Linked DNA regions of Mus musculus. The protein of the gene in region 1 purifies or fractionates together with the protein of each later gene. This does not show direct contact. Links are inferred from orthologs where the notes say so. Each region holds a gene or a part of one and is shown on either strand. Other genes may lie near its edges. The genes, in order: Rbbp4, Smarcb1, Hjurp, Cbx1, Sap30l, Arid4b and Kdm5a.

Region 1 (3,500 bases):
CAGGATCGGCTGACAAGGTAGGTTTGCCTCCTTTGGATTTTTTTTTTTTTTAAGATTTATTTATTATATATGAGTACAGTGCAGCTGTCTTCAGACACCCCATGTACTGACTAGTTTTGTGTCAACTTGACACAGCTGGAGTTATCACAGAGACAGGAGCTTCAGTTGAGAAAATGCCTCCATGAGATCCAGCTGTGGGGTATTTTCTCAATTAGTGATCAAGGGGGAAAGGCCCCTTGTGGGTGGGACCCTCTCTGGGCTGGCAGTCTTGGGTTTTATAAGAGAGCAGGCTGAGCAAGCCAGTAAAGAACATCCCTCCATGGCCTCTGCATCAGCTCCTGCTTCCTAACCTGCTTGAGTTCCAGTCCTGACTTCCTTGGTGATGAACAGCAGTATGGAAGTGTAAGCCGAATAAACCCTTTCCTTCCCAATTTGTTTCTTGGTCATGATGTTTGTGCAGGAATAGAAACCCTGACTAATACACCCCAGAAGAGGGCATCAGATCTCATTACAGATGGTTGTGAGCCACCATGTGGTTGCTGGGATTTAAACTCAGGACCTTCAGAAGAGCAGTCAGTGTTCTTAATCACTGAGCCATCTCTCCAGCCCCCTGTTTGGATTTTTGTTGTTGTTTGAGGTTTTAAATTTTTATAGGTATTGGTATTTTCACTTACATATATGTCTTGAGCATGGTGCCTGGTTCCTGTTGAAGTCAGATCTCCTGAGATTTAATTTTACAAATATTTGTGAGCCACCAAGTGGGTGCTGAGTTAATGTTTTATTTTAGTTAAAGATTTTCTTGTCTTTTCTTGTAAATTTTTAAAAAGTGCTTATTATATTGGCAGGATGCCTCAGTAAGCAAAGGCACTGACTGGAGCCTGAAGATCTAAATCTAAATTCAGTCCCTGAGACCCAAATGACTAAAGGAGAGGCCAACTCCACTCCTACAAGTTGGCCTCTGATCTTTGCATGGTTTTCATGGCACGTGTGTATACACTGAGTAGATAAAATATATGAGGGGCATAAACTGTAGATCAGGATTTTAAATAAAAATATATAAATAAATGAATGTAATTTTTAACTTAAAATTTTTTAAATTACATTTATGTATGTATTTGGCAGGGGTGGAGGGACATATGTGGTGACAACTGAAGAGGTCAAAGGACAGCTCTCCAACATCTGTTCTCTACTTTCACTATTTAGGTTCTGGAATCAAACTCATTTGACTCCTCAGCAAGCACCCTTAGCCGCTGAACCATCTTGTTACTTTAGGGTGTTCTTATCTGATAAATTAATAGTAATTTATTTTTATTTTTGCACATAGACTGTTGCCTTGTGGGATCTGAGGAATCTGAAACTCAAGTTGCACTCCTTTGAATCCCATAAGGATGAAATATTCCAAGTAAGAGAAATCAATGTGCCTACCCCTCACTTCCCTTTCTTTCATCTTCCTTTGTCTACAGGAAATCTGCTCAAGTTAGTAGTATTTGAGAGCTGAAAAAAATCTTTGCACCTCTTGGTTTCTTGGGATATTAAGAAACTAGTGCTGGATTATTGTGTCCATGCCTATAATTCCAGCACTTGGGGAACTGGGGGAAGGGAGGTACCTGTGTGTTCTCCTCAGACCAATCATTAAATTCCTTTTTTTTTTCTGGCTGTTTTGTTATTTTTTTGATTTGTTTTTAAAGATAGGATTTTTCTGTGTATTCCTGACTATACTGGAAGTTGCTTTATAGACTAGGCTGGTCTTGAACCCAGAGGTCTGCCGGCTGAGTGCTAGGATTAAAGGAGTGAACCAACATTGCTTGTCTCTTCGTTTTAAAATTATTTGCTGCTCAGTGGGAGTGGTGGTGCCCACCTATCTCCCAGCTTGGAGGCAGAGGCAGGTGGATCAAAATAAGAAAAATCCTGTCTCAAAATCTGTGTGTGTGTGTTTTGAATTGAACACTGGTCTTCTAGAAGTTTGGCCAGTACTCTGAGCCATATCTCCAGCCCCACCTTTTTTGAGATAATTTTACTATTTTAGCCATTGCTACTTAGACTCCTGTATGCCCCCTTTTTCATAGGGGTCCCCCTGACTCAATTAATTGTCTGCTGTTTTTTTTTTACATCTTTTTTTTTTTTTTTTTAAGATTTATTTATTTATTATATGTAAGTACACTGTAGCTGTCTTCAGACACTCCAGAAGAGGGAGTCAGATCTTGTTACAGATGGTTGTGAGCCACCATGTGGTTGCTGGGATTTGAACTCTGGACCTTCGGAAGAACAGTCGGGTGCTCTTACCCATTGAGCCATCTCACCAGCCCAATTGTCTGCTGTTTTAAAACACATGCTCTAAGGCATTGTGACAACCACTTTACAGCCTTTTCTCTCCAGCGTGAATTTGATAGTGAAGACAGGCATGATAATACAGGCCTCTAATCCCAACGCAGAAGAAGCTAACCAAGTAGTCACAAGTAGTTCATCCTGACTATCTAGGAAGAGACTCTACATTCATCAAGACTACTAATCCCAGCATGCAGAAAGAAGAGGCAGGAGAGTCAATACAAGGTCATCCTCACCTAAATAGACTTGAGTATTGGAGATATTTTATCTTTGTCTGGACTCCTTTTGGTGATCTTGCTTGAAAGAATAACTAAAGCCGGGCGGGCGTGGTGGCACACGCCTTTAATCCCACCACTCGGGAAGCAGAGGCAGGCAGATTTCTGAGTTCCAGGACAGCCAGGGCTACACAGAGAAACCCTGTCTCGAAAAACCAAAAAAAAAAAAAAAGAATAACTAAATTCTTCCCTAATCCATTAGTTAGTAATACCTTTCTTGTGCCATGAACCAGCATTTTCTTAATAAATAACACAGTTTGTGATTGTTGTTTGTATCTTTTATAGCTAACATGATTATCAGGAATCTTTGAGGAGAAAGATAGACACCTATCCTGTATTATGTGGTACATAATGAGCAGTTGAGAAAATAAGAGATTTATGCCACCTGTCGATATTTTAGTTTTATGTGTCAGAAATAAACTTCTTTTGACTAAAAGCTGGATTAGGTATAAATAAATAAGGTTTCAAAGATGTAAGTTGAAGCTAGGTTTGGTAACTTATGTTTCAGTGTGTGAGGTTAAGGCAAGAGGCACAGAAGTTTGAAGCCAATTTGAGCTGTATGCTCTGTGGCCCTGTTGAGCCACACTGTGGAACAAAGTAAAATACAACAGAAGCTGAGTTCTATCTTTAGTAATGAGTTCTTTTCATGTAAGCAGTATCTTTCAGCTTTAACCGTGTTCTCTGTTTTATTAATGAGGTTTTGTAAGGTATCTCTTCTATTCTCTAACTTTTTCTTCACTCTGGATATAGGTTCAGTGGTCACCTCACAATGAGACTATCTTAGCTTCCAGTGGTACCGATCGTAGGCTGAATGTCTGGGATCTAAGGTGAGTTTTATGTTAGTTACCCTATCCCTGAAGTTATTTGGGTCGGGGGTGTTTTGGGAACAGCTGTCCTCTG
Region 2 (3,500 bases), on another chromosome or scaffold:
GCCCAACAGCTCCCACCACCTGGATGCTGTGCCCTGTTCCACCACCATCAACAGGAACCGCATGGGTCGGGACAAGAAGAGAACCTTCCCCTTGTGGTGAGTAAGCGCCGCCGAGCTTGGCCTCTGCACAGATTCCAGTGTGCTTTGGTCTCCTTCTCAGATGCCACCCTGCCTCTGCCTCAGATGCTGTCCTCGTCCTTCCAGGACACCATCCTTGGTGCTCCGTATCCTCCCTGACCCCCTGCTGTGCTCGCTAGGCCTTCTTCTTCCCTGGAACTAAGTGTAATTGTTGGGGGCACAGTCCCTAGGCTGTCCCTGTAGCATGTTCCGTCCGATGCCTACCGCCAATCTGGAGGGTGTCAGGGAATACCCACTTGACTCTCACTGTGTCAGTTCTCTGTGGCTGCTGAAACAAACCACTGTAGTGACTTACAACAGTATGGATTTAGTTTCTCCTAGTCTAGAAGTCAGGAGTCTGAAATAGGGTCACAGGCCAAAGTGAGGATGTAGGCAGGCATTGCTCCCTTCAGAGGCCCTGCTGCTCACCCCTTCCTCAGCTTACAGCCATAGCCACAGCACTCCAGTCTCTGCCTCCTCTGTGGTCCTGCTGACTCCTCCATGTGATAGCTCCCTCTGGGTTTCTTAGAAGGACATGTAACGTGGGGCCTCCCTGTCCATGCATGCTGACTTGGTTTTGTGCATATCATGAGCGGTTAGCACAGCTGCTTTGAGTTGGTGAGTGCAGTGGGCCTCTAGAAGACACTGCCTTTTATGGTCCCCTCCCTCCATCCTGTCTTATGGCCCTCCCCCTTAAGCTTTGACCTGTGGCTCTTAGTGTTTTTCCACTAGTTTTCTGAAAAATTCTGAGCTTTAAGGGGAAGAGGTAATTTTTGTTTTTTTGAGCCAGGGTCTCACTCTGTATCCCAACCTGACCTCAGACTGTTGGCAGTAAGTCTCAGCCTTCCCTGTGCTGGGATACAGGCACGAGCGTCCAGAGCCTGCTAGCATATCTAGGTTTTCTTCTTTCAGGGCAGAAGCTTCCTGGCTCTTCCATGCATTCAGGAAGCACACTGCCTGGCCCCGTGCAGACCGTCACCTAGACATGTTTGACCCTGTTTACTGCCCCCTGCACTTCCTTTAGACTGGCCTGGGGACTCCTGACAACCTCTTCTGTGCTGCCCCAGGACTAGATAACAAATGCCTAGAAGAAATGGCGTCTCTCTTCCAACGCAGGGACCTACAGTGCACTAGGAAGCCAGACACTGTGTCTCTGGGGACCTGGACCCAGGGAACCCTGGAGCCCTGACTGACATTGCTGCCCTTACGCTTTCAGCTTTGATGACCACGACCCAGCTGTGATCCATGAGAATGCGTCACAGCCTGAGGTGCTGGTGCCCATCCGGCTCGACATGGAGATCGACGGGCAGAAGCTGCGAGACGCTTTTACCTGGAACATGAATGGTATGTGATAGCTGGTTTTTGCCTGAGCCTTATTCAAAATATCCACTTTTCTCCAGCTGCCCATGGGGCAGAGTCTAGACTTGACGTTTGAAGCTCTGTGGCATGGATCTTAAGGTTATAAACTCCGGTTCATTCTGGCTCTGCTGTGTGCCTATTCCTTGTGGACTGGGCATGTGTCTTAGAGGTTGTTTTTTTTTTTTTTTTTTTTTTTTTTTTTTTTGTTATTGCTGTAGCAAGATACCCAAACCTGGGTAATTTATAAATAAATAAATATAATGTGTCTCTGAAGGCTAGGAAGCTCAAGGTTCAGCTGCTGAATAAGGTGTGCATCTGTTGAGGCCTCACACTGCTTCAGCTCCTGGCAGAAAGCAGAAGCAAGGTGATTGAGAGACAAAATGAGGACATGGTTAATATAGTCTGCCTTGTAGACAAACCCAACCTAAAGGGAATAAATGCATGCATTAGAGAAGGTTCTGCCTGCCTGCCTACATACTCACAGCTCTCAGTAAATAAATAAACATGTGGTGGTACACTGCTCTAAGGACCAGCCTGATTCAGCCGGCGACATAGAAGATCAAGTAAAATCATTTGTAAAAATCCACAGTGTGAATGAACCCCGCCCCCCAAAAAAAAATTAGCATGGAAAAAACAGGGAGGAGAGTCAGCAACACTGAGGATATGGCTCACAACCATCTGAAATGGGATCTGATCCTCTTCTGGTGTGTCTGAAGACAGCTACAGTGTGCTTATATACATAAAATTAATTAATTAAAAATAATAAAGCTGATACAATTTGCAAAACACATGAAACTGAAGAAGAACGAAGACCAAAGTGTGGACACTTTGCCCCTTCTTAGAATTAAAAACAATCACCCATGGAAGGAGTCACAGAGACAAAGTTTGGAGCTGAGACAAAAGGATGGACCATCTAGAGACTGCCATATCCAGGGATCCATCCCATAATTAGCTTCCAAACGATGACACCATTGCATACACTAGCAAGCGTTTGCTGAAAGGACCCTGATATAGCTGTCTCTTGTGATACTAGGCCGGGTCCTAGCAAACACAGAAGTGGATGCTCACAGTCAGCTATTGGATGGATCACAGGGCCCCCAATGGAGGAGCTAGAGAAAGTATCCAAGGAGCTAAAGGGATCTGCAACCCTATAGGTGGAACAACATGAACTAACCAGTACCCCGGAGTTCTTGACTCTAGCTGCATATGTATCAAAAGATGGCCTAGCTGGCCATCACTGGAAAGAGAGGCCCAGTACAGGGGAACGCCAGGGCCAAAAAGTGGGAGTGGGTGGGTAGGGGAGTGGGGGGAGGGTATGGGGGACTTTTGGGATAGCATTGGAAATGTAATTGAGGAAAATACGTAATAAAAAAATATTTAAAAAAAAGAAACACACAGTAGGAAAAAAATAATAAAGCTGGAGCTGGGTGGTGGTGTTCTATGTCCTTAATCCCAGCACTGTCAGGAGGCAGAGGCAGGCGGATCTCTGTGAGCTCGAGGCTAGCCTGCTCTATATAGTGAGTTTCAGGACAGCTAGAGCTACATAGTGAGACCCTGTTCCAAAACAAAACAAAAAGGGCACTTCTCAAATCAGGCACTGTCGTGGGAAGAGGGCAAGCCACGGTCAGCCTAAGCTAGGCTGTAAGGCTCTAACAACAAACATGAACACAGAGCAGTGACAGCAGTGTGTGAGTGTGAGGTTCCGCCCTCTTGGGAGTCAGTTAGCTCAGGGTAGTGCTTCTCAACCTGTGGATCATGACCCCTTTTGAGGTCGCATATCAGATACCTACATTTCAGTTCATAACAGTAGCAAAATGACAGTTATGAAGTAGCAATGAAAGAATTTATGTTGAGGGTCACCACAACATGAGGAACTGCATTAAAGTGTCGCAGCCTTAGGAAGGGTGAGAACTCCAGGGTGAGAAGGGTGAGAGGCTTCAGGGCCTTGGCATGGCAAGTATCTGTAGTTCCAGAGATGCCCAAGGCGTCGCTCCGGCTCAGTCCAGCTGCGTGCTCACTGCTCA
Region 3 (3,500 bases), on another chromosome or scaffold:
TTTGGGTCATATATATAGCCAAGTACATGCCCCTAAATGTTTCACATGTACTTCCCAAGGACTGGGTGCTTCTCAGTGATTATGACAAGTTTAGAATGTGCCAAAAACTTCTCATTGGCATGCTACAATTTTTCCAACTGACCCACGATGTCCTTTGTGGCCACTTTTGTATTAGACTGGCTCGGGCAGCACCCACTGCGTTTAGCAGCTGCTTCAGTGGTCATCACTGGGGTAGCCTGTCTCAAGTGCTCCATTTGGGGCTGTTCCTGTTTCTGTAGGTTGGGTTTTACTTTTTGAGATCTATGAAGTACTCGTGTAATGTAGAAGTCATAGCTGCGTGGGTACCGCCTTCCTGGCCCTCCCTCTAGAGGTCAGGAGTTTGGGGTTATTTACAGTTTGGTTTTTTTGCCATGTATGTTTGTGGGGTGTGTGTGTGTGTGTATTCAGGTTTCACAGACTACAGAGGCCAGATGCCCCTGGAGCTGCAATTAAAGGCATTTGTTGCCTGGTATGGTGCTGTGAACCGAACTCGGATGCTCTGGAAGAGCAGCAAGGCTCTTAAGCCCTGAGACATCTCTTCTGTCCCCTTTGTTGGCTTTTCTTATTAAAATGTTTACGATGGTAGAATTTTTCTAATTAATTTTTTGAGGTTTTCATCTATGTGTGTATTGTATTGGCTTTTAAGCGGAAGCCATCTCGAAACAGTGTAAGGGGAGAAGAGTCCTTTTGCAAAGCTGGAGTGGAAGATTAGAAATCCAATTTTGACTGCTGAAATAAAGTCTGCTCCTTAACCCTTCTGGGGTTTTATTTATTTATTTAAACTGTCATGGTTTGTGATGCCCTCTTGAGCTCCCTGCCCGGTGGGTAAGTATGGGTGGATTGAATGGTGGTTTCTCTTGACTTTGTCTATTTCTCTCCTAGGATGCCAGGATGCTATCTCTGCAAAGAGCTCTGGTGGTCCTGAAGTATCTGCTTTGTCCTCTAGAGGCCAGGGTCCCTCATACCCTTGCCCAGCTGATATGGCCATTGTGGCTAGAAGTGATGGCCTCTCCTTACTTGGGACCAGCAGCAACAGCGTAAGCAGCCAGTCCTTTGAGGTTGATGACCTTTGCAATGTGACAATCAGCGATTTGTATGAAGGCATGATGCATTCCATGAGTAGGCTGCTGCGCTCAAAGCCATCCTGCATCATCTCCACCAAGACCTACATCAACCAGAGCTGGAAGCTCCGGAGGAGACCCTCACGCAAGCAGGGGCTGCACAAGAACAGGACACACTGCCCCCGGAGCAAGCCCTCCCAGAGGAGTGCCAGGAAGGGGCCTGCGTCCTGCTCAGAGCCCGGGAAAGAGGCCGGAATATTAAGAGACTACGGGAATTTACTGCACGTTGCTCCCCACAAGACAGGCTTAGAACTGAAAAGCGTTTCTCTTGAAGGAAGCAAACGCCAAGTCCATAAATCCAGTCCAGCTTGGAAGGAGCTCCAGATGATGCCGCAGAAGGACTTGGACTTAAACCGTGAGCGAGAAAATAGGGTGATGACATTACAGTGGCTAATTTCACCCGTCAAGGTGGTTCCCAGACCAAGGATGCTTCCAAGTCAAGTAGAGAAGTGGTATAGAGAGATTAAAATCAAATTTGACAAGCTTCATCAGGAATATTGCCTGTCTTCTGGGAAACAGCCTCGCCTGACTGACCCCACAGAGTCTTGGGCTGTCGATGTGTACAGAAGTGGTTCTAAGAGCCCAGGCAGCCGTCAGGATGTAGAAACCTGCAGGCCCAGTTCACCTTTCGGCAGAGAAAAGACAGAAAGGCCAGGTGAAGCTTTAGAAGACCTGAGGGGAAATGGAAAGTCTGTCAAAACAAAGAGCTGTCTTCTAAGGAGCTGTCCCTCTCCAGAGGGCAGCCCGTCACGGAGCCCCAGCCATTCTCAGCTGAGCTCTGGCCTTCAAGAGCACAATTCTGAACCTACTGGTAAGGCAGTGTGGCCCAGTACAGCTATTTCAGCACCAAGCATAGGCTCTCCAGGCTGTGGGAAGGATAACTATGATGAGCTTAAAAAAGAATTCAACAGACTTTATCAGAAGTATTGTCTGTCACCGCAGCGGGCGAAGGTGACTTCGTGTGGCAGAGTATCGCCAATGAAAGCTGCTGCAGCTCTTCCCTGTCAATCAGAGCACTTGAAGAGACTAAATCCAGACTCCCCACAACAGAGTTCCCAGAAACGGTCAATCTCTCCTGGCTGTCACAGAAGAGTCCTGCAGGATTCAACTGCACAGACTGCTAGTACACTTGTGAGAGACTCTTGGCTGCCAACAAAGAGGTGCAAGTTGTCATACCCGGTAGCTTGTGCTCACCAGGCCAAGTTTCACGATACCTCAGGAGCATCAGGCTGGCCCTGAGTGTCCTGAGTGCTGATTGCGTGTTTGTCTGTTGGACATGATGCTTATGTGTAGTCAGCAGCTGCTTTGAGGAAGAAGACCTCAGCAGAGACTTTTGTTTCTCCTTTTGGAGGACGGTCCCCAGGGCATCCTGTGTACTGAGCAGTCTTCCATTGCAGCTCCCTGTAGCCACTTGGCCTCTGTCCAGCCACCTCCCCTGCTCCGTATCACAGCATCATCTCTGTCCTTTCTTGTGGGATGTTGGTGCCTTGGGCTTCTCTAGCCAGCCTTGGCCATTACTGTGTCTCTTTATCTTATTCAGGGGATTCTCAGTGGCAGTTTTCCTCTTAACATGAATTACTTACAGTGTCTCTACTCCCCACTCCCCCATCTTCACCTTCCTCACTTCTGCTTCTGAGTAGGTGAGTGTCCTTCAGGAGAGCACGGTGTTAAATCCATGAGTTGAGTCATGACAGAACGCTGTTCACACCTCTCGGCTTAGTCTTAAGAGCGCTGGTTGTGGGGGTGGGGGAGATGTTTTATTTGGTTTTTGAGGCAGTCTTGCATAGCTTGGGCTGACCTTGGACTCCTTGGATAGTCAAGGTAACCATGAGTTCCTGATCCTCCTTTCCAAATGCTGAGGCTAGTTTTGTTTTCTGATTTATTTCCATGGATAAAAATACTTTGTGAACTGTATTTCCCTGGTTGAACTGGGTCTCTGGCTGCCTGGTGTGGCAGGAATCCCTGGCAGGGTATTCCCACCAGCTATCTCCCTTTGCTCTTGGCCTTGAGCTGTTTGTCTAGCTGCCTCAACCTCGTGAGCCCCCTTGACTTTCCTAGACCAAACTGCTATCGTGGTGTGCCTTGGTGGCCTGCTCCAGAAATCACTATGGAAGTGACTGTGAGAGTGGACTCGTGTCTAGGTCACCTTGGGGTAATCTGAGATTCTGATGAGAAGAAAGGTCGCTGGAGACCTTAGTTCAGAACCTGCATCCTTTTCCAGCCTGTGTCCCCAGCTGTCCCAAGAATACAGCTGTGTCCCTTGCCCACCCATCTGGGCCTGCCTTCAGCTCCAGAGCCAACGAAATCTTGCTACTTTGTCTTTAAAGCCTGTCTTGCTAT
Region 4 (4,222 bases), on another chromosome or scaffold:
CTGGAACTCACTCTGTAGAACAGGCTGGTCTTGAACTCAGAAATTCTCCTGCCTCTGCCTCCTAAGTGCTAAAGTGCTCTTAAACTCCCAGCAATCCTCCTGTCTCAATCCCGGGTACTAGGATTAAGAGGCTTGAATCTGGCCTTGGAAAGTTTGATCAGTTCTATTATCAGTTGGACATCTCAGTTATTCACTTAATCACATATTCAAGGAATTTTTACCAATAAATACTGAGAGTCAAAACGTGACCTTGTGGCCGGGCGTGGTGGCGCACAACTTTAATCCCAGCACTCGAGGCAGAGGCAGGCCGATTTCTGAGTTTGAGGCCAGCCTGGTCTACAAACTGAGTTTTGAGAGAAACCCTGTCTCAAAAAAACAAACAAAAACAAACCAACCAACCAACCAAACAAACAAACAACCAAAATGACCTTGTCCTTGCTAGAAACAAACACCAAGGATCCTGAGTGTCGTGGACACAATGAGTCATATGAAGCGTCTGTCCTTACTGGAGTTCCTAGTTCAACAATTAGCAGCAACCTACCTGAATCAGAGTAGCACCCGTGTTAAAGAATGACAGCCCAGCCGTGGTTTTTGCTTAATTCCGTTTCTTTAGACTAACTTGATAAAGGATGTTCACAGAGATGGAGAAATCCCCATGAAAGTCACCCACCGGCAAGGGCAATAAAGGGAAAACTTTGAATGTGGTGGTCTGTGTTTGTAATACTCGGCATTTGGGAAGTGAAAACAGGTAGATCAGACTTCCTTGAGACCCTGTCCACTCAACAGAACCAACAACCAAAAATAAAACAAGAATAGAGAGGGAAGGAAGGGGAAAGAAAAAAAGCAAATTCAGAAAGTGTCGATGGTGTCTACCTAGACGGTTAATCTACTGCTTTCTGAATGGAGCAGTGATTCAAACTGAGAGGTAGGAACCCCAGTCAGGTGGCAATAATAGGTAAGATTGCTGGACATTATTGAAGGTGATTTGATAAATCTCAGGTGACGAATACAATATTTTTCTTTTAAACGCAAACGGACCAAACATCAACGGGCTAGTTTCCAAACCTGCAGTGTCCTACTTTTGTAGACTGAGTAAGGAATACCAGCACGCGCCTGGAATCCAGCACTTTGACATTTGAAGCAAAAAGAAAGGCCACGAGTTCGAAGCCACCTGGGCTGCGTATCCTGTTATTAAACAAACAAACCCCACCACTACCCATCAATTTCCTAGACTGTAGAGTTATGTTCTAAGTAACAGTCGACTTCGCCTTTCCAGTCAAAAAAGAAAACAAAACTACGAAAACTCCCTACAATCCTTGAAAGTGGAGGTGGGCGGCGCGGGATTCGCGCGGTACTTTGGGATCTGTAGTTTCTGGCCGACTCTTAATCCCAAGGTGCCCTGCGGCGGGTCGTCGCGTCTGCGCAGTGCAGGCGGCGGGCCGCGCAGAGTGAGAGGCTCTTTTGTTCGGCTGAGGGGAGGGCCGTTAGCGGGGCCTGCGGTACGCCGCTTCAGCGGGACGGTCGACTTGTGGCCACACGGCTCTTTGCTCCTCTGGGCGCGCTACTCCCCTCGGACCGCCCGACGCAACGCGCGAGTAGCGCGGCACCGATTCCTCTCGGACTCTCGGGCGCTGCTACGAGGTGAAGAGGCGGGCTGGAGGCGGGGTGTGTGGGGGGAGGGGACGCGGCAACGGCGGGAGGCCGCGGACCAGCGCGGGCCGCTAACGGAAGAGCGGAGACCGAGGAATGGGGGGCGCGCCCCGGCCCAGCGCCCGCCGGGTCCGCTTCCCGCGCAGAGCTCGCGGGTTGCGGGAGTGTGGAGAGGGCGGGGCAGCGAATCCAGAGCCCGGGAGCCGAGTGGTTCGCGATGAGCGGAGCCAGCGGAGGGTTAGCTTTTCAAGAACTGGACCAAGAGCGTTTGACCCGAGTGAGGGACTCTAGAGTTGGGCGGGAGAAAGAAAACTTTGGGACGTCCATAAGGGGGACAGGTGCTTTTGGGTGTGCGTGGCAGGGACCACGACTTCGTACTCTCGAGGTTTAGAAATGTAACCTGAGAAAGCGGACACGGTGGCAATCGCAAGCAACCCCCGTAGCACTTGGAGGAAAGAGAGAAAAAGTAACCTGAGGATATTGGGTCCAGTTGCCACTATCAGAGAAGTTTCTCTTGCCAGAGTTAAGAAGAAGTAACTTCCAATAAACTTGAACAGGAGGATTTGGGCAGCTCACGGTGTGCTAGCGGGGAAGAGATTTGTTGAATCCGTCTAGGGGTGGGGGTGGGGGGTCAGGCATTTTCTTGACCTTGTCTAAAAGTGGAGTTGCTGGGATAGGTAGGGTAGAAGTCTAGAGTGACTGGTCAAATGTGGAAGAAAATAAAGGGTCCCTGGGGATGTAACTTAGTTGGTAGAATGTTTGCCTAGCCCACTGCACAGGCCTGAATTCAATCCTCTGTACCTTATAAATTCGGGCTGGGCTTGATGGCATTCATGTAGCCCTTGGGAGCGGAAACAGGACGATCAGGAGTTTAAAGCCTTGCCTGGCCACCAGGGGAGTCAAGAAAGGGTGAAAAGGCCACTTTGTGCCTTGTAATGGGTCTTCAGTGTGAGTTGGGAGGCTGTGGAAGAACACGTGTAAGGCAAGACTCATCCAATGAAAGAGATCTGTTCTTTGTGCGTAAGCCTGGGGGCCTCAGTTTACCTCTCAGGATCCAGGTAAAGGTGGAAAGAGCGAGCAGACTTCACAGAATTGCCCTCTGAGCTACAAATTAGGGAAATGGCAGGGACCCTCGAAAGCAGGTGCATGCCCACCGGCAGCGAGAATATTTTTATTTAAAAAGCAGTATAGAAATATAGAACTCATTTCGGTGTGTGGTACTGAGGACCTTGCACACATGTAAGTTATCTACCACTGAGTTATGTTCCAATACCATAAAAAGGTTTTTTGAAAAATGAGTTATGCTAGAACATAGGGTAACCTCTCCAGTTTTGTGTTAAGAATCATGTCAGCTTTTTGGAATAGTTTCAAAAGACCTAAGGTTTTCTGGTAGATGTATGGCTACAATCAAGAAATTGGTGCCTATACACTTCCTGGATGCTCTCTAGGCATATCTGGGAAGTGGTGTGTTGAAAAGAGCCCAGTTAGGCCTTGCTGCATGCACTCCTGTAATCCCAGCCAGCACTCGGGAGGTGGAGCCTGGAGCAGCAGGAGTTCAAGACCTAGGAGGAAGGAGGCTTTGCTTCTTAAGATCTGGGCAGTGAAAGATCATTTCTGGTTTCTGTTTGTTCAACTTTTTATCAATAGCTTTATGATAGATTATTTAAACCTTCCCTTCTAGGTATTTTTCTGAGCAGTTAAGAAAAGTAGAGGAGGGTTGGAGAGATGGCTCAGCGGTTAAGAGCACTGACCGCTCTTCCGAAGGTCCTGAGTTCAATTCCCAGCAACCACATGGTGGCTCACAACCACCTGTAATCGGATCTGACACCCTCTTCTGGTGCATCTGAAGACATCTACCATGTACTTATTTATAATAATAAGTAAATCTTTGGGCAGGAGCAAGTCAGGTTGGCTAAAGCAAGCAGAGATCCTAAAATTCAATTCCAAGCAATCACATGCATGCTCACATCTATCTGTACTGCTACAGTGTACCCATGTACATTAGATAGATAGATAGATAGATCCTTTTAAAAAGAAAAAGGGAAAGGGGAAAAAAACTATTGTGTGTCAGGCAGTGGCTTGATTTTTTTTTTCTTTTCTTTTTAAAAAGATTTATTTATTATATAAGTACACTATAGCTGTCTTCAGACACACCAGGAGAGGGCATCAGATCTCATTACATATGGTTATGAGCCACCATGTGGTTGCTGAAATTTGAACTCAGGACCTTCGGAAGAGCAGTCAGTGCTCTTAACCGCTGAGCCATCTCTCCACTACGATTTTTCTTTCTTTTAAGACTTATTTATTGAATGTATGTGAGTGCATTACATAAACATTCAAAAAACACCAGGAGAGGGCATTGGATTCCATTACAGATGGTTTTGAGCCACCATGTGGTTGCTGGAAATTGTACTCAGGACCTCTGGAAGAGCAGTTGGTGCTCTTAACCACTGAGCCATCTCTCCAGGTGTCCCCCCCACCTTTTTCCTGTTTTTTTTTTTTTTAAGTGGGGGGTGGGGTGTGCCATTGCATACTTATGGAGATCAGGAACAACTTTGGGGGTGGGGGTCAT
Region 5 (4,226 bases), on another chromosome or scaffold:
ACAGTGGCCTTAAATTTTTATCTGGTAGGTGTATTTTCTAACATACTGTCTCCTGTGTGAAATTAATAAAAGTAAACTGTACAAACGCACTTTTAGACCTCTGGAGAGAATTTAAGAGCTTTCCGGACACCCATCCCATAACCATACCTCTCCCCCACAACACTACTGACTGTAGGACCCGACCCTCAGAAAATTCCCTGTGTCCTTGCATCAAGGACGAGGTGACACCCTGGTCTTGGCAGGGTGCGGTGGCCTCCTCCCGGGTTGGTCTGAGTTAGCTTGAAGCAATAAAACTACAAATCAGTCTCTAACAAGTCTGAAGGTGAGTCCTCCGTTGGTGGCCTAAGGGCTTTTCACCTTTGCCTCAGCCCACAAAGTCCACCCTGAAGATCAACCCAGGCCAGGGTTGCTCTGACGCTGGGCTCTCCTCCTTAAGTCCCTTCTTCCTTGGTGCCCGCTGTACTCAAAGATTTCTAGTTCACCTGTCCGACCTCTCCTGTCTCTCAGTGCCTCTTTACGCGCATATGCACTTCCTCGTTAGCTTCATGTCCCACACCATGCACCCTGTCTCCCGCTGCCGCGTAGATCCTCCAGCCCAGGCTTTTCCGTTTTGCCCAGTCTGTTCTCCTGGCAGCACTTTCTCCCTAAGGTCTCCTTCCCATACCCTTCCCTTGTCCCTCAGTTTTCCTCCGCACGTCGATGCTTCAGTCCACTGCGAACGTGATCTCTGCTGCAAGTCTGTCCCTGCTTCCCGCAGACCCCACTCAACATAGGAGACCTTGCGGCCTGTCAGATCCGGCTTAGCATTTCGTTCCATAACCGGCTTGCTCACAACCCCACTATGGAGCCGGACCTCTGCTCAGGATCCCGCGCTGGGATTGGGAACCTGCTCAACATCCCATCCCGGAATGGAGACCCTGCGACCCTCCATATCCCGCTCAGCACCACTCCCTGAGGTGGAGGCCCCGCGTCCCTCCTGACCTAACACAGCATCTCGCCCCAGAGCCAGAGGACCTCGCTCACCATTCCTGGCCCGGACCAGGACATCTTGCATTCTTCCAGACCCCGTTCAGCATCCCTCGCGGAGCGAGGTCCCTATTTACCATCCTAACGGCCTAGAACATCCTGCATCCCTCCAGACCCATCTCAGCATCCCACTCCACAACCAGGACTAAACCTGCGGCCCGCTGTCCTCTCTAGCCCGGGTAACTCTTCCCTCTTGCACTTTCTCTACTTTGAACCCATCCCAGCAGAGTCCAGGAAGTAGCCTGGCACCGGAGACCGGCAGCGATGGCGCCCAATGGGAACTGCCAGCGGCGACGTGGGCCCCGCCTACATAAAGAATACGACCATTGAGCGCACAGAGGCGGGACTTCCGCTGTGCCGCGGCGGGCGGGGGAGCGCACTGTTGTGGTGCGGCGCGTCGGGCGGGCGGCGGCCGGGGCGGCCCAGGGGCTGCCGCGGGGACTCGGGGCGCCGCCGAGCGGCCAGGCGCTGGGGCGGCCCGAGCACACCGCGGGGCCCGGACACGGCAGGTTCGAGGCCGGGCCCCCGCGCGGGGAGCCACGGGGTGGAGACTTTGCCGCGCGGCGCGGAGCAGGCGGGAGCCGGCGGGGGCCTCGGGAGCCCCAGGGCGGCCGGGCCCGGATCCCGGGGGAAGCCTCGTGAGCCCCGGCCGGAGCCTCGGCGTGTGCATCCCCGCCGGGGCCCGGGCTGCAGGAGCACAGAGCAGCCGGGCCTCGCGGAGCTCGGAGCGCGCCTGACCCAGGGCGCACCGTGGGACCCGGGCGCGGGGCTGGCGAAGAGCTGCCCCGCGGGGCTAGCAGCCGCGGAGTGGCCTACAGGGGTCCTCCCCCGGAGGGGCCGGGCCGGGGCGGGGAGATGAACGGCTTCAGCACAGAGGAGGACAGCCGCGAAGGGCCCCCTGCCGCCCCCGCCGCCGCCCCGGGCTACGGCCAGAGCTGCTGCCTCATCGCGGACGGCGAGCGCTGCGTCCGGCCCGCGGGCAACGCCTCCTTCAGCAAGAGGGTGCAGAAAAGCATCTCGCAGAAGAAACTCAAGCTGGACATAGACAAGAGCGTGAGTCTCGGGGCATAGCGCAGGGCCGCGGGAAGGGACCCCGGGGACGCTCCGCGCGGTGGGCCTCGCCGCGCAGTCTGTGCAAAACAGGGGACTCAGGTTCTTGGAGGCCGCTCGGTGCTCCGCGACGCTGCCCGCGTCCCCGAGGGTGGGCTGGGAAACCAGGGAGGGCTTGGCACACTCTCCCTGCCTGGGAAAGCGACAGCAGTTTCCAGCTGTCACTGTTGCGCCGAATAGCAGAGCAGAGAGAGGTGGGTTACTTTTGCAAGAATTGGGCAAAAGAGGTGACAAGGGAACCGGGAGGATCTTCTCCAACTTCGTCCTCCCTCCAGGGACCTTGTCGCTCTTTCAGACACTAGCAAGGTGGCCGCGACTTTCCTGTCTGCCGCGGCCTCCGGTCTCTGCAGCGCAACACAGAGCCCGCTTCGCTGGCAGCGAATGAGTTTTTCTGAGATGTGGCAGAAATAAGGCCAAGGCCGGGTCTTAAATGATTTGCTGTGGATGTGATTGAAGGGGGCGGGGAATCAGCTTTCTTGCGGGGATTAGCATCTTTGGTAATGCCGTTGGAGGTGGAGAGGTGCAAATTTAAAATGGAATGAGATTGCCCTATGCCTTGTGGCTAATTATAAGAAACTTCCTGAGTGATTTCACCTACTCTGGTCCTCAAGATGTGCCTACTGCCAACCGGTTAAGAACTTTTCAGTTTGACATCTGTTGCTGCAAGCCCTGAGTGGCAGCTTCCAGGTTAGGAATTGAGACTGAGTTAAGGAACTTCTCATATTCAGGAGTTTGAATGATTACTGTTCAACGGTTTGGGGAAATCAGACATTGCTTGGTAGCGGGAAAGGGAGCCGATCTTTACACTTCTGATGTGGCAGAAACTGAGGCTGGGGGCGGGGGGGTAGGAAGCAATGGCGCCAAGAGCACACTGCACTTAAAAGCTGGCTAATTTCCTAAGCCCACTTATTGCCTGGCTTGCTTCCAAACCTTACACCCAGTTTTCATTCGTCTATAATAAATAAGATCATCATCCTTTCTTCTAGACTCTTCTCTTGCACACTCAGTTTTATTTAGTCAACCAGTAGAATCCAGCTCATTTGAAATCGTGCTGGGTTTTGTTTTTTGTTTTTTTATGATTGGGACCTTCCTTTTTACAAATGTCTTGTCAGTAAATAAATGAGTGAGTGAATGAATGAATGAATGAGATTACTCTGAAGCAAAGCTGGCTAAACCCTCAGGTGTCCCCTGCTAATCACACATGGGAGTGAAAGTGATCCCGAGACTGGGGATGAGTTTATCCACATGGAAACGGTGCCTGCCTCCCGTGTGGGCTGCTGGCAGTGCTCACATCTGGATGGTTTTGTTGTTGCAGTAAAGACTCCATTTATCCACTCACCCCATGGGGAAGCCATGTGGAGCAGTGTTGAGCATGTCGATGTCACACACACTCACACACACATCATCATCATCTGGAAGAAAGGCCCCCTCTGCCCTGTACTAGCATCCCCAAAGGCAGTACTTGGGAAGGCTTGTGGTTAGATGTGCGGCCTTAGTCCATTTCAAGGTGGTAGTACAGAGTCATTATCTCTGAAACAGTTTCTATTTCATTCCACAGATGGGCAGGAATTCAGTCCCAAGTAAGTGCTGTGTTACTAGAATGTCTAGCTGTTGTAGCAAGTGAAACAGGAAAGAAAAAACAAACAAACAAACAAACAAAAAAACCCAGACAACCACAGTGAGCCTTTGCTTCCACCCTAAGGCCCCCACCTCACCCACAAAAGCCCCTGAGTCCTGAGATTGCTGAAAAGCAGATTAGACTTGAACATGGTTAAGGACAGAGAATAGCTGTCTGGTAAAAGGATCTGGCAAAAGCCCTTTTAAAATACTATAGCACCCCCCTTCAGGTGGCCACTGGCTGCCTCTGTACTGTATTAGTACATAGCCAACTTGCCGCTGATGGGTTTCTTCTTTGCTTCTGGAGAGTGCTCGAAGCTGGGGATCACATAAAGGAAACAGGCTCCAGTGTCGCTTGGGTTGCTGCCCCCTGCTCTGGTCTGGCCTCTTCCTACCTAAGCTTTAGAAACACCCCACTCTGCCACTCATTCTTCCCAGTTTACCACTATGCTGTGGGAAGCCACTTGCGCTCT
Region 6 (3,500 bases), on another chromosome or scaffold:
CCAGTCACTGAAATGACTACAGAGACCCAGTTCCATCTCTAGAACCTATGTAAAAAAGCAGAGCCTGGTGGCCAGGCAGCTTAGCCTATGAGCAAGGCTCAGGCATATGAAATACGCTGTCTTAAAAAATAAGGTATCTGAGGTTGTCCACACACATGCAAACACATAAACACAGGTGGAAGGAGAGAGTAACTACAGTGCATGGAGTCTACACTCTCTTGCTTTTACTTTGGTTTAGACTATGAGACAGGGTCTCACTATATAGTCCTGACTCAGCTTGAATGTTGTTATAACAAAGAGAAGATGGACAACCTAAAAATCCTGAAGTAATCACTCCACAAGTATGGATGTACAGAAATACCATACTGTGCCCATTAGATGTGTGATTATCTGTCAAAGAATTCTTTAAAACAAAGTCATTACAATAATACCAGGCACAAAGGAAATGCAAAATACAGGATTTGTTGAATGAGTATGCACAAATCAGATCTTATGATCTGTGCATTATGCTAAACTTCTTTTTTGACAAACAATTTTACTACGTAGCCCAAGCTGACCTGGAGCCTCCCACTCTTGCTATATCCCTGCCTTCTTAATGCTAAGTCTACAGCCATTTGCCACCCAGTGAAGGCCTAACATCCCTATTTATCTTTATACTGAGGGTATACGCCTTGTGAGTAGGCACTGTGATGTCATTAACAGATGAAGCTGACAGCGTAAAGAATTTGGCTACAGAAACAACAGACATAGTCCTTCCTCAAAAGCAATGTAATAAACGGAAATTATGTTTAAGGAAAAAGTACTTACTTTCTCTCTCTTTCTTCTTTAAACGTTTTCTCCTCCTATCAATGGAAGCTACTTCAGATTTTAAAGACAGATAATGCTTTCTGATTTCTTGCAATTTTTCTTGAAGAATTGAGATACGTTCAGCACTTGTCATATTTTCCAGGTCCGCTGTTAATTTAAAAGCCTCATTAATAAGTATTTTGGGAATAAAAGTTAATAAAAATGAAAAAAAGCCAATGTAGTCTTAGAGTAAGGTCTAAGACAGGTAACTACAAGAAACAACTTTCCATGTGTGTTGGTGCACACCTGTTATACCAGCTAAAGCACACACACACAAAACAAAGACATCAAAATATAGCTCTACTCCCTGCCCTTTGACTACAATAACCAGACACAATGAAATGTACAGTACAGGGTTTGTTGAATGAACACATACAAACCAAAGACTTTATAATCTATGCATTATGCTAAAACTCTTCTTTTGAGCAAACAGGGTCTTGTTATGCAGCCCAAACTGACCCGGCCTTCCATTCTTGCTGTCTCTGTTTTCTGAATGCTAGGATTATAGAGCTGTCCCCAGCTCTACTAAGTTTTCTAGTTATACACAACACTGCCACAGTGTATGAGTTAAAATAGCCAATGGAGCCTGGCTATACCTGGTATAGGCTATGGTGAAATACACCTTTAATCCCAACACTTGGGGGCAAATGAAGGAGGCTGCCTCTGAGTCCCAGGTCAGCCTGGCCTATACAGTCAGTTCCAGACCAGACAAGGCTACATAACCAGACTGTGTCTCAAAAACAAAACAAAACAAAACAAAACAACCCACCAACCCAGTTATGATGGCAGGCTTGAGATTCTAGCCCCCAGGTAACTAAGGCAGGGATTGCCTTGAGTTTGAAGGCAACCTTATCTATACACTGAGTACCCAGCCAGACAGGCTATATAGCAAGATCTTGTTTCAAAAAGGAAAAGTATATTTACAAATATGGTGCAAAGACACCAAAAGGTTAAAATTGTATTTTGGAAGAGAAAGGAGACGGGGGTCTTATTTTGTAATCCATGTTAGTCTCAAACTCTCAATCCTCCAGTCTCAGACTCCTGAGCTCTGAGAGTACAGGTGGGTGGACCCATACCTAGCTACCATACGATGTTTTTCTTTAAAAGACAAAGTAAGAAAAAGATTTATTTTTATTATTATTATTTTTAAAGATTTATTTATTTTATGTATGTGAGTACACTGTAGCTGTACAGACGGTTGTGAGCCTTCATGTGGCTGTTAGGAATTAAATTTAGGACCTCTGCTTGCTCTGGCCGGCCCCGCTCACTCCAGCCAAAAGATTTACTTATTATTATACACAAGTACACTGTAGCTGACTTCAGACACACCAGAAGAGGGAGTCAGATCTCATTACAGATGATTGTGAGCCACCATGTGGTTGCTGGGATTTGAACTCAGGACCTTTGGAAGAGTAGTCAGTGCTCTTACCCACTGAGCCATCTCACCCACTCCTATTTTTACTATTTTTAATTGGGTATGTGTGGTCTATGTTCCTGAGTTCAGGTGCCCAAAGAGGACCAAGGTATCAGAGCCCCTGAGTTACAGTTGTGAGATGCCTGACATGGGTGCAGGAAATTGAACTGCCCTCCTCTGGAAGAACATACTCTTAACTAGTAAGCCATTCCTCCGGCACCCTACACTGTCTCCAGGCAGATTCTCAGCCTTACATGTACTCAGTGCTGGCTAGCACCTGTCTTAATATTTTCTTTTAGCAATTTGTTCATTCTAATCAGGATCTTAGTAAGGTCTATACTATGCCATGTCTCTCAGGCTCAGTGTAGTTTCTTTTTTAAAGCCCCGGCATCAGGAGTAACTAAGACAAAACTCCTACATCTAAACTACATATGTCACTTACACGTCTGAAAACTCCACTTGTAAACCTTGGGAAGCCGGTTACTAGGCTCCTTGAGATCAGGGTCTTTATCCCCATTCCTGCCACCTTTTCCTGGAGACTGTACCCTTGCTGGAGACTTGCTGTTGTGGGTCTTCATTCCGGTGGGGACTGACTTGATTGTCTGAGTCTTAGTCACACTTTCACCAGCTGAGAGTTCTTCACTGTCACTACTGTTTGCTGAAAGAGAAAGAAACCATCAGTAAACAAAAGTTGGTCAAACTATCATCAACTTACGAGGATAACTCTAAATATACCACTTGATTTTTCTACTACAGTAAACAATCTACCTAGAAATCCTAGAAAATCGGTGTTGAAGATTTAGCTCAGTTGTGTAATGCTTGCCTAGCAAGCCCAAGTCCCTGGGTTCAGCCCCCAGCACTGGAAAAATAAAACCTAGAAAAAGCACATGCGTATGCAGACATAGCTCATCCAAGGGAAACAAATGCCAAAGTCTTCCCACCTATATTGCCAATAGGTATGAACTCGTTGCACTGACCTTCCATTCTGCTAGCTTTACTATGAAACACAGTGAGCCAGTAGCTGATGCACCCACATACCTATATCACAGATGCTTCACTCAGTCACAGGCTCTTACCTAGCTAAAGAGCTTTTTACTCTGTTGGAATAAAGGATTCCTTGTAGGAACGTCTTCATTATCTACACAACTCTAGTACACAGCAACATGTAGCAATTCCACTGCCACAGTAGTACATATCACCATCACTAATAGATTCCTTAACCTCTTTACACTCAATAGCT
Region 7 (3,500 bases), on another chromosome or scaffold:
ACAGCTAACAAGATGCAATAAAACAAGAATGTAACTGATACTAAGATATTACAAACTAAGATCTTATAAAGGCAGGTGCTTCCACTATCTGGCCACCTTTAAGATTTTTCTATGATCATTAAATAATAATAGTCCTAGAAATGTCAGAGCCCTGATTTTTAAGTGTCATGCATTATTAATGATTTATCACTATACTCTCTGTTCTTTTTATGTACACTGCACTTAAAATACATTTGTGTTAGATGGAACTTTGACTCAAAATTAGCATAGAGAAGAATAATTCTAAAGTACTCATAGTTCAGGATTTTTAAATGGAATAAAGGCCAAGGGATCAGAGAAATGATGATTTAGTGGTTAACAGCACTAGCACTGGCTGCTGCTCCAGAGGACCCAAGTGTGATTCCTAGTACCTACATGGTAAAGAAAATGGCCTGTAACTGCAGTTCCAGGGGATCTGATGCTCTCTCTCCTAGCCTCCATGAGTACTGTACACACATGGTGCACAGATATACACGGAGGCAAAACAACTTGAAAAAAAAAAGCCAAGAGTCTGCCCAGTCTTTCTAAAGGTAGTCTATCTAAATCTCAACTCTCTAAATTTTGTATCTCATATGTATACTATCTAAGATTTCTTAAGATAGCATATATAGGGAGGAATACACAGACCCTAACACTAGTCTATACATACAATTCTAATTTGGAACAGAAGCTCGTAAATAAAACAAAAAGAATATTTCACCTTTACTTGTCGAGTTTGGCTGATGACACACGGAAGACTAACAAGTTGTTGGACAAAGGCCTTCAATTCTTCTACTGTCAGTTTGGTCCGAGTCTTCCCACTATCTGAGCTCTGCCTGATATGAAATAATATTGAGACATAGAAAAATACAGTCAATCTGATATCAAATGGGGCTCCTACTCTCCTATGAATTAAAGCCTTAGAAATCCTAGAATTCTAGTGTTGAATAATTCCCCCCAGATAATTATCAAGAAATAGTAACAGTCCTTCTAATCTATAACTACTATACATTTGACCATTAAATAAATTCCCATGGTAGAACATGAAGACCACTGAGAAAATGAAATCCTTGTATCTTAAAGAGGCTCACACTGGGAACATAGGGTTTTGATCTGCTTTAGACTACTGAACCCCCTAAATACATCCCAAATTCTGTTTTGTTTTACTATAGCTCTTTCTATTTTCTGTGTATGGATGTTTTGCTTGCACATATGTCTGTGTGTCACATGAGTGTGGTGCTCAAGGAGGAGCAAGGGCATACATAGATCTCTTGAACTGAAGCCATGTGAGTACTGGGAACTGAACCTGGGACCTCTGCAAGAACAGTCAGTGCTCTTAACCATGGAGCCAACTCTTCAGTCCCCCAAAATCTTTTACACGTACACTTATTTTGAAACAGGTCTGAGCTCTGCCTGATACGAAATAATACTGAGACATAGAAAAATATGGTCAAGTTTTCCTAAAAGCAAGTTAATATCCACTGGAAAATGTCTCTAGCAAAGGTTCTCTGATTAGATTTAAAAAAATAAAAACTTAAAATCGAATGTAAAGTACTATAGAAATAGCCACACAGATAGAAGAAATATATTGAATAACTATAAAATAATACCACAGAAATTGTTTATAAAATAGGAAGGAAAGTCAGAAGAAGAAAGAAGTGAACAAGCTGCCTCAGATATGGCAGGAAAACCCCAAGCTGAATGAAAAACAATCGGGAACCCTAAACAAGAGCATACTTGGTATGTACGAATAACAGCAAGTCAAAGAGTGTTGCAGAATGGAATAAGTTTATTGAAGAAAAGAAAAATGTAAAATTAGAAAGGTAACTTCTTCTAAAAAGTCAATCAGTTCTAACAAAAGGTAGAAAATAAAGCTAATTGTCTGAACTCAAAATAGTTTATTCATATTCAAATCTTTTGTGATTAAGCATCCTGAGCCATGCTGCTAAGAAACCTCTATTTTCTGGATGTTGTGGTGCATACCCTTAACCTCCCCACAACGGGCAAGTGGATCTCGGGGAACTTGAACCTATGTGTCTAAGATTTTTGTTACTTCAGATAAAGTTGAATATACAGCTAGGTCTTTGTCACAAGGATACTGCATAAACTTCAGTATTATTTTCAGCATTGAAACTAGCAGGTCTTTTGCTGTTTTCTTAGTGTAGTTTACAACTAGCTTAAATTTAAAGAACTTCTGACAATTTATGATCATGGAGAAGGAAGGATTGGAGAGGAAGAATGGGAGTTACTAGGGATGGAAGAAACATGGCCACTGGAGCAAAATATAAAATAGGGCCTCATAGGCCAATTAAAGTGGAAAGACTAGGAATCCACAGAATTCTGTTCTTGGTTTACCTGTGTTTTTGCTTTTTGCTCAGAAGCAGCTGAGCCACAGAACCACAGGTCTCAGCTTCTTTCACCGCGTCCCTGAGCTTTCGAAAGAGATCATTCTCTGGGTATTTCCTATCCTCAGCATCTTCCAGCATTACTCTCAATTCAATCAAATCTGTAAAGACAAATATTATTAATAGACACAAAACAGCCATTCTACAATGGTCATAAAGATCACTTAAGAGTCACTAACATACTAGTAAAACAATGTGGCTTTGAAAGTCTCTAGTATAAAACCTTCTGATCAGATGTTTATTCCCAACAGATGACTTCACTCAAATAAGGTATATTTGACCTGTCTCCTTTTCCCGTATCCCAATTTGTCTCTCTTGAAAACAATCAAAAGTCTTTCAGTATCATTAAACTAAATCTGGTTCTCTAAAATACATGTCGACTACAAACTTGTCTATTTTAAGCCAGCTTTTTCATTTAAAACAGATTCTCAATAGGTGTGATAGCAATGACACCAAGGGTAGAAAGGTCATGAGACTGAGGCAACAAAGCACAGTAGATAATCTTAAAAGCCTACAGCCATAGCAAATGACCATACCTGCTATCTGATCTCAGAAGCTGAGTTATATCAGGTCTGCTAAGTACATGGACAAGAGAAAACTAAATGTATATTCAACTCTGTCATTATAAGCTAGAACTTCCATTTGTTAATGGAGAAAAAAACATATAATTAAAAAATGAAGGAAACATAACCTTTCTTATGGTTGAAGCTAGCTGACAATGCTTCTGTAACACGATTGACCCAAGTGTCATAGGATTGTGCTCTCACTTTGACACCATAAAGCAGAGATGGAAGGTCTTCTAGTGGATAGCGGTACCTACCAAAAAAAAAAAAAAAAAAAAGTAAAAAAAAAGTTTAAAAAACAGAAGTAAAAGCTTCAAAATACAACAACCTGAAAAATAGCGGGGGGAAAAATATCAGAGAAACTCCCAATTTCAATGGAGAAAGAGAAAGAGAAAGAAAAAGAGAAAGGGAAAGGGAAAGGGAAAGGGAAAGGGAAAGGGAAAGGGAAAGGGAAAGGGAAAGGGAAAGGGAAAGGGAAAGGGAAAGGGAAAGGGAAAGGGAAAGGGAAAGGGAA

The links.
Region 2: the proteins of Rbbp4 (region 1) and Smarcb1 purify together in Homo sapiens (affinity purification with mass spectrometry; 3 studies listed by BioGRID, with this or other methods). This does not show direct contact. The link is inferred for Mus musculus from reciprocal best matches to the Homo sapiens genes RBBP4 and SMARCB1.
Region 3: the proteins of Rbbp4 (region 1) and Hjurp purify together in Homo sapiens (affinity purification with mass spectrometry; 5 studies listed by BioGRID and IntAct, with this or other methods). This does not show direct contact. The link is inferred for Mus musculus from reciprocal best matches to the Homo sapiens genes RBBP4 and HJURP.
Region 4: the proteins of Rbbp4 (region 1) and Cbx1 purify together in Homo sapiens (affinity purification with mass spectrometry; 3 studies listed by BioGRID and IntAct, with this or other methods). This does not show direct contact. The link is inferred for Mus musculus from reciprocal best matches to the Homo sapiens genes RBBP4 and CBX1.
Region 5: the proteins of Rbbp4 (region 1) and Sap30l purify together in Homo sapiens (affinity purification with mass spectrometry; 3 studies listed by BioGRID and IntAct, with this or other methods). This does not show direct contact. The link is inferred for Mus musculus from reciprocal best matches to the Homo sapiens genes RBBP4 and SAP30L.
Region 6: the proteins of Rbbp4 (region 1) and Arid4b purify together in Homo sapiens (affinity purification with mass spectrometry; 5 studies listed by BioGRID and IntAct, with this or other methods). This does not show direct contact. The link is inferred for Mus musculus from reciprocal best matches to the Homo sapiens genes RBBP4 and ARID4B.
Region 7: the proteins of Rbbp4 (region 1) and Kdm5a purify together in Homo sapiens (co-immunoprecipitation; 3 studies listed by BioGRID and IntAct, with this or other methods). This does not show direct contact. The link is inferred for Mus musculus from reciprocal best matches to the Homo sapiens genes RBBP4 and KDM5A.

The regions. Positions count from the first base shown.
Region 1 is NC_000070.6:129,318,371-129,321,870, reverse strand, and holds part of Rbbp4 (histone-binding protein RBBP4), read left to right. Parts: coding exon 1-17; intron 18-1,324; coding exon 1,325-1,402; intron 1,403-3,350; coding exon 3,351-3,427; intron 3,428-3,500. UniProt on the Homo sapiens protein: Core histone-binding subunit that may target chromatin assembly factors, chromatin remodeling factors and histone deacetylases to their histone substrates in a manner that is regulated by nucleosomal DNA.
Region 2 is NC_000076.6:75,908,115-75,911,614, reverse strand, and holds part of Smarcb1 (SWI/SNF-related matrix-associated actin-dependent regulator of chromatin subfamily B member 1), read left to right. Parts: coding exon 1-96; intron 97-1,333; coding exon 1,334-1,461; intron 1,462-3,500.
Region 3 is NC_000067.6:88,264,080-88,267,579, reverse strand, and holds part of Hjurp (Holliday junction recognition protein), read left to right. Parts: intron 1-921; coding exon 922-2,399; 3' UTR 2,400-3,500. UniProt on the Homo sapiens protein: Centromeric protein that plays a central role in the incorporation and maintenance of histone H3-like variant CENPA at centromeres.
Region 4 is NC_000077.6:96,787,713-96,791,934, forward strand, and holds the start of Cbx1 (chromobox protein homolog 1), read left to right. Parts: upstream 1-1,422; 5' UTR 1,423-1,641; intron 1,642-4,222. UniProt on the Homo sapiens protein: Component of heterochromatin. Recognizes and binds histone H3 tails methylated at 'Lys-9', leading to epigenetic repression. Interaction with lamin B receptor (LBR) can contribute to the association of the heterochromatin with the inner nuclear membrane.
Region 5 is NC_000077.6:57,800,211-57,804,436, forward strand, and holds the start of Sap30l (histone deacetylase complex subunit SAP30L), read left to right. Parts: upstream 1-1,426; 5' UTR 1,427-1,881; coding exon 1,882-2,079; intron 2,080-4,226.
Region 6 is NC_000079.6:14,192,784-14,196,283, reverse strand, and holds part of Arid4b (AT-rich interactive domain-containing protein 4B), read right to left. Parts: intron 2,919-3,500; coding exon 2,703-2,918; intron 955-2,702; coding exon 808-954; intron 1-807. UniProt on the Homo sapiens protein: Acts as a transcriptional repressor. May function in the assembly and/or enzymatic activity of the Sin3A corepressor complex or in mediating interactions between the complex and other regulatory complexes.
Region 7 is NC_000072.6:120,405,599-120,409,098, reverse strand, and holds part of Kdm5a (lysine-specific demethylase 5A), read right to left. Parts: intron 3,240-3,500; coding exon 3,115-3,239; intron 2,525-3,114; coding exon 2,374-2,524; intron 1,432-2,373; coding exon of another isoform or gene 1,242-1,431; exon of another isoform or gene 894-1,241; intron 855-893; coding exon 740-854; intron 1-739. UniProt on the Homo sapiens protein: Histone demethylase that specifically demethylates 'Lys-4' of histone H3, thereby playing a central role in histone code. Does not demethylate histone H3 'Lys-9', H3 'Lys-27', H3 'Lys-36', H3 'Lys-79' or H4 'Lys-20'.